Oryzias latipes: one gene and its partner. The protein of the gene in region 1 interacts with the protein of each later gene in a pairwise test. Links are inferred from orthologs where the notes say so. Each region holds a gene or a part of one and is shown on either strand. Other genes may lie near its edges.

Evidence for each region. The genes of interacting proteins can lie anywhere in the genome.
Region 2: the proteins of ehhadh (region 1) and actin, cytoplasmic 2 interact in binary tests that used the Homo sapiens proteins (3 or more experiments, as listed by UniProt). The two-hybrid records come from large-scale screens. The link is inferred for Oryzias latipes from reciprocal best matches to the Homo sapiens genes EHHADH and ACTG1.

Annotation. Positions count from the first base shown.
Region 1 is NC_019879.2:20,083,429-20,086,372, forward strand, and holds part of ehhadh (peroxisomal bifunctional enzyme), read right to left. Parts: coding exon 2,890-2,944; intron 2,445-2,889; coding exon 2,340-2,444; intron 30-2,339; coding exon 1-29. UniProt on the Homo sapiens protein: Peroxisomal trifunctional enzyme possessing 2-enoyl-CoA hydratase, 3-hydroxyacyl-CoA dehydrogenase, and delta 3, delta 2-enoyl-CoA isomerase activities. Catalyzes two of the four reactions of the long chain fatty acids peroxisomal beta-oxidation pathway.
Region 2 is NC_019859.2:22,455,868-22,460,030, forward strand, and holds the start of actin, cytoplasmic 2, read right to left. Parts: upstream 2,801-4,163; 5' UTR 2,676-2,800; intron 1,857-2,675; 5' UTR 1,854-1,856; coding exon 1,731-1,853; intron 1,647-1,730; coding exon 1,407-1,646; intron 981-1,406; coding exon 734-980; intron 651-733; coding exon 459-650; intron 370-458; coding exon 188-369; intron 83-187; coding exon 1-82. UniProt on the Homo sapiens protein: Actins are highly conserved proteins that are involved in various types of cell motility and are ubiquitously expressed in all eukaryotic cells.

The DNA of each region.
Region 1 (2,944 bases):
GCTTACACGACGGGAGTTAGGGGGTTGATCTGAGGAAGAAAGTTAGAAGTAGATCAGAAATGTGTTTCATAATTCAACTTCTGAAAATATGCAAAAGTAAAAATTCAAGTTTGTGAAATCAAATGAGCATATTACTTCCCACTGGCAGTGCTTTATTTTTTTTACACAGTTATTAACTGGTGCTCAGGTGTGGGAATGTTTTCAGGCACACTCTTCTCCTCAATAACTAGGTATCCCAGCAGACACTAAGAGCAGGCCGATTTGACAGGCTATTTCCAGATAATTGCAGGAGCTTTGGCAATGAACCGACACAGCTCACCTTGAATACCGAATATCTCAAACAAAACGAAAAACAATGAGTCAGTTTGGAGGAAAATAGGCGAATAAAGAATCAATATTTTAGTTTTTCTATATAAACCAAAACAAAAAACCTCCAGCCCATTTTCCCAAAAACTATATTGTTCCTCATTGAATCTTTACATGAGGTTTCAGTGATTTCAACTTTAATGGCTCCTATGCTAAGACCTTGTTAAAAATAAAAGCATTTGAAATCCCAGCGCTGTCTTCTCTGATGTGATTACATGAGACAGAAGTCAGAATCTTTCACAGCTTCACTGAATTACACTCAGCTGTGGGTCTGGACCAGAAAATGGGTCACCATGGTGAAGCTTAAAGGGACAGCAGTCAAATCTGATTGATGGGTTGTCTAAGTTTTCCAGCATTAAACTATTTTTTGTGTTACCATTTATCATCTCTAAAGAAAATACTGAGTAAATGTTATTTTTTGGACATTCCTATGCATGTTACCCCACAATTTTAACAAGAGGGAGGTGTTTTATTGCAGTGCAGTGGTTCCAGTGTAATTTAGGAGGCATTATTGCAGCAGATTAATCTGTAAATGGCCGAGCTGTGGATTTACAGCGAATGGGAATCCTAGCTGTCTGGACAGATGTAGTGGGCAGATGTTGCAACCTCTGAGGTTAAAAAAAGTCCCATAATCTCATCAGTCACCAGTGAGACTTAAATCCATTTGTGTATGAGTGTTGGGAGAGTGAGCACGCAGTCATCAGTGTAAGCGCACACTTCACATTGTGCAAAAAAAACCAAAACAAAGTTAAATATAAAATATGCTCACTGGAATAGCATCTAAGCAGGTCTCAAGAGAAATCTTGTGGTCTCACACATTTTTGCTGGCTTTTTGCGTTAAACAAAACATTTCCTGTCCTCATTTTTCCCTCCTAACTAACACAAGGATGTAAAATCTGCCAGAATTTCCCTGATTTCCTGCCATCTCTTCAGTTCTTTTTATAACAGTCTTGCTTTTACTATCAACACTCACCTCCTCTGACATTCAGTCCTCATGTAGTGCAGGGAAATAAGAAAAAAAAAACAACAACATTTGAAGACTTCATATTTTGATTGTAAAAATGATGTTTGACTTGCCATTCAACAGGCTTAACTGTTGACATTTTGCACAGATACAAGATTTTTTGCCACGGGCATGATATCAGACACAAACAGGCACTGCGCTCACTGATGCGTCTGCGGAAGAAGCTGTCACCGCTCGGATAACAACGAGATAACAACAACTTGAAGCCTACAGTTCAGTCATGAAGACTTCATTTCAAATTTCTTTCATGTGGAATCAGGAGCAACCTTAGCTGTGGATAATTCAGGACACACAGGAGGGATGAAAAATGATTTAGCCCTTGGTAAAAGATAAAGTACTAATGTGCTTTGATAAAAAAAAAGAAGAAGAAAAGATTTAGTTAGTGCCCTAAAATGTTAAATGGCTCTGACTGGTTTGGGGAATAACACAGTTTTCTTATGCCCACTGGTGCTCTGTCAGTTTCATTACAAGCGAGTAAAGCTGAATGGGGCGGTCTTCACACAGACCAAGAAATCCTTCTTCCTAAACTGTGGGGACATGGCACACTTCAGGACTCCTCTCCGTCTGCAACTGAGTCAGGCTCACATGCGTGCCGCAGCTCTTTTCCTCCTAAATGAATGGTGGGGGCCCTGCATTAAAATTCTACAAAAGTTTGTCGCTTTTCGCCCTCTTGAATAATCCAGCAAATGTAGTGAAGACATCAGAGCCCATCTGACAGCACCATGAAACATTCATGGCTCCTGTGGTGGTGGATCTGCCTTACATGTCTCTCTGCCTCCTTTGGCTTCCACAGCAGAGATGACTGGGTGCCTTGATGACAGGTTTACCTAAAATAACTCCAGTAGAAGGAATTTCTTGTTCTTCCACAGAGTAAATTTTTAAACCAGTCAAGGGGGGGGGTTGGATTTTACTCTAGTAAGTACCCCCCTCCCCCCCCATTGCCTCTCACCTGCAACACTCAAAGCAAATTTCACAGCTTCATCCACAGTGTTTCTGTCAGTAACCTTGTCGACTAATCCAAGCTGCAGGGCTTCGGCGCCGGTCACGTGGCGGCCTGTGGGACAAAAACACAAAACATCCTATTTAAAGTGTTAACAAGAATGTTTTTACAGATGAATAAAGCAGTTATCAAAAAATAACATCACAATCAATTCAGCTTACCCAGCCAAAGATGAATTATAATGAACGGTTTACTAGTTTTAAAGGTTGCCACCTGCTGGTGCTAAATGGTAGTTCTATAAAACAAATTGTAGTTATTCAATAAGACGTTTTTGTTTGAATGTAAGTGGATTTCTAGAAAGCAAGATAAATCAAGTTTAAGATAAGAGTCAAACGGAAAATACGGACAAAATCTTTTACCTTCAAATGCTTCATAAACCTTATTATTTAAAGAAAAATCTTTTTCAAACAGACTTTACTATTGTTACTTGTGATGACCAGTTTTTTTTTCAGCATTCAAGTTTGTTGTTGGTAAGTCAAAGTACTCTTAGCTGCTCCACCTGTGGTGATGAGATCCAAGGCAGCTGGAACACCGATGAGCCTCGGCAGGCGCTG
Region 2 (4,163 bases), on another chromosome or scaffold:
ACATCTGTTGGAAGGTTGACAGGGAAGCCAGGATGGAGCCGCCAATCCATACAGAGTACTTCCTCTCTGGAGGTGCGATAATCTAAAAGCATAAATGAGGAGTTAGCAAGTACAGTAGTGAAAAAAAACACTGAAGTGCTTTAGATGGAGCACTTTAGACTTTGTGCGCAAACTCAAGTCTCCATACCTTAATCTTCATTGTAGTGGGGGCCAAGGCAGTGATCTCTTTCTGCATGCGGTCAGCAATGCCAGGGTACATGGTGGTACCGCCAGACAGCACAGTGTTGGCATACAAGTCCTTACGGATATCAACATCACACTTCATGATGCTGTTAAAGGTAGTTTCATGGATACCACAAGACTCCATACCTGTGCATGAGAGTTAAAATACAGCCGTCACTTTTCAACATCAGATGTGCCAATATTCAACCCATATTGCATGAGGATGTAAGGTTTACCAAGGAAAGAAGGCTGGAAGAGCGCCTCTGGACAACGGAACCGCTCGTTTCCAATAGTGATGACCTGGCCGTCTGGCAGTTCGTAGCTCTTCTCTAGTGAGGATGAAGATGCAGCAGTTCCCATCTCCTGCTCAAAGTCCAGTGCAACATAACACAACTTCTCCTTAATGTCACGCACAATCTCACGCTCAGCTGTAAAACAGACAGAAGAAAGCAGTTTATATTTAGTTTTCAACTCTCCACATCCTATTGCTCAAATGTAAAACAGGGCCCACCTGTGGTAGTGAAGCTGTAACCCCTCTCAGTCAGGATTTTCATGAGGTAGTCTGTGAGGTCTCTCCCAGCCAGGTCCAGCCTCAGAATGGCATGGGGCAGAGCGTAGCCTTCATAGATGGGTACTGTGTGGGTCACACCGTCACCAGAATCCATGACGATTCCGGTGGTGCGTCCAGAGGCGTACAGGGAGAGCACAGCCTGGATGGCCACGTACATGGCAGGAGTGTTGAAGGTCTCAAACATGATCTAGAAGAAGAGCAGTGGAGACCTTAGGTCAGTGAATCACACCAGTTATTGTTAAGATCACTATAACCACCACACCAGCTGAATTCAATACAAGTTAAGATTACTTGAGCACAGCCACACAGTTATGCAGAACACAGCAATATAAAGTGATTGTTTAAATTTGTTGACAAGCACATCAGTTGATAGATCAGAAAAGTTTGTGCCCATGCTGCAAAGAGTCATTCCTGATGCAGTGCAGGAAGATCAAAACCTTAAAACATCCGCAGAGGTAAAGAGATCAGCTCAGGAGAGAAGAGTCCTGGAGTATAAGGAGGAGCAGGAGGAAATGATATGGAGCATGAAAAATGAAAAGATTGAAACAGCTTCTGAATGGAAGCTGCAAATGAGCTGGCAACGCAATTCAGAAAACAGTTTCAGGATCCTCACCTGCGTCATCTTTTCTCTGTTAGCCTTTGGGTTTAGGGGGGCCTCAGTCAGCAGGACTGGATGCTCCTCAGGGGCAACTCTGAGCTCATTGTAGAAGGTGTGATGCCAGATCTTCTCCATGTCGTCCCAGTTGGTTACAATACCATGCTCAATGGGGTATTTGAGGGTAAGGATTCCTCTTTTGCTCTGTGCTTCATCACCAACATAGCTGTCTTTCTGGCCCATACCAACCATCACACCCTTGGAAGGCAAAGTTTAAAGTTAGCCCCAAACAAAAACTCTCTGGCTTTGGGTTATGCTGCAGGTAAAAAAAAAAGGCTGTACCTGATGCCGGGGGCGGCCAACGATGGAGGGGAAGACGGCACGAGGAGCGTCATCCCCAGCAAACCCAGCTTTGCACATACCAGATCCATTGTCAATAACGAGGGCAGCAATTTCTTCTTCCATTTTCTGCAGAAAGAAAAATCAGAAACTCAGCATCTACCACTGGACAGTCCTGTTTCAGGGTCTGGACGCTGGGTGTCGCTGTGGTGTCGTTTCGAGTTTAAAAATGCAGGGCTTTGAAACAAAAGGGGTTTCTAGCCCGTCTGACCATGGCCATATAAGGCAAAAGTGAGAGCAGCCTCACCGGCAGCAGCAGACCGGTCCAGAAACCACCCCGTGTCCCAAACAGGTTCGGATGACACCGACAGACGGCCACCCCCTTCAAACATCCTTACCAATCTTTTTTGCCCTCAGCACATCGCATCACTGTCATAAATGTTTGATTGTTTTCCAGAACTACAGCTTTAAACCCGTCAAATAAGCAAAGTCATCCCAGCAAGTGCAGCGAAGGCAGAAAAACTACAGAAAAACACAACGTTTTTTTAAAGCTCAACGGACTTGCTGATTAAAAATAAAATAAAGGCTTAATGTATAAAATAATACTTTAGAATGAAGCAAATGTAAAGTCCTTCATCGTCGGGCCGAAACCCGAGACGTCAGAAGAACCGCAAACCTTGTGGATGCTGGCATGCAGGAGAAGGTCAAACTTGTCAACGCGGCTAGTTAAATATACGAGCGGAATGATAATAGCATCAAACACAGGGATATTTACGACGGAGAAGCAGACATGACAGCAGTTTGTCATTCATTGACACAGCGACATAACATTTTAATTTGCTATCGCCAGACAGAAGTCGCCGACTTTAAACATTTAGGTCTTTAACGTATCGAATAGGGCGTAAATTTTATAAGCAAGAAAACAAAAAGTCAAAAGTTGCCTCTTACCTGTATGAATGGGGGTTCACGACTTGTGAAGACTCTCGCCGGAAGGCAACACTCCTGCGGAGTTTAGTGTTTGAGCTACACTGCAATGAAGGCCTGTGAAGTGCGGGCTTATATGTGAGCTCGTGCTGCAGCCCCTCTCCATAAAAGGAGAACTTTCCGCACGGCGTCCTCTGATTGGCTCCGCCGCATCCACTGGGTGTGGCTCATGCAGATAGCTGCCGTGCACCCTGGCACGCGGGGGACAAGGACCGTGAAAAGTAACCCCTATATTTTGAGGGTTAAGTGTCAGGGGTCATTGGTCACTGTGTTTTTTTTTAAGTGGTTTGTTTTTGTTCTTATTTTTTTTATTATTGTTTTTGAATGAGTGACTTAAAACCCAGCAATTACAACTGCTAACATGGTTCTTGAGAATCAGCTTAAAAACATGTTTTTCTGTTGTGTTGTTCTCACATTAGGGATAAGTCCAGTTAAATTAAAAACATGCAATCATATGTTTACTCCTTATCATCTACCCTGTAATTTGGCTAAGGTAATCCTATAATTTTGCTTGTCCACTTGTTTTTTTCTTAACCAGATCTTCAAAAAAAAAACGTAACAATTTAGGAACTTTTTTTTATATAACTGAATTGTGTCAATCTTTGAACATCCAATTTTTCCCACCGATCACAGACACGTGTATTTGGCAGCCTTGGACTGGTTACAGTTTCAGGGTCACTGACAGTAGTGTTAACACCCTGCACAATATGTGCTCCTGCGTACCGGTCTCACTTACACGTAAGCACATATATCAGAGTGACAAAGATACGCGTGTCCAAGTTGATTTTGGTTTACAGCAAAACGGAGAATCTGTTAATCCCTCTTTTGCACTCATCAGTTTCGTGATGTGTTCGCCTTTGAATGAAAAATATGCAACCTGCTATGACTCACTTGAGTGCACAGAATTACGCAGCACCTGTTGGCATTTTAACCTGAAATGGTGGGTGGAATGTAGTATTCAGCTTTGCGATGCAAATCTGTCTTTAGAAGCTTATGTTGTAAGCAGACAAGACAAAGAGTGGCTTAGTCAGGGTGGCGTTTTAACTCAATTAGGGCACAGGACCAATAGTACTAGTGACTCTGAGATTTGCTCCCTGTGCTCCTAATATGGATATTTGGGAGCCTGCTCTCCAGCAGGGAAGGGAAGTCACATTTTATGGTGCTTTATTTTTTGTAGATGCACACAGGAAGTGTTTGCAGCTAAAGACACATATGGTGTGGTGGTAGTGGGGGGGTTGAGTTGGAGTGATGAGCTGATCAGGGAATTGGCTTTTCTGAGTGGCATTATCCTGTTTTAGAAAGACAAGCACCAATTATAGCGCCAGAGCAGGCTATCCATCCCTTTAAGAGTTCCTTTGGATGACATCCATAAAAGGAGATATCGGAGGATGTCACATGGGGGGAAGAATGCACTGCTGGGATCATGTGACTTGTCCAAAGAAATGAATGAAT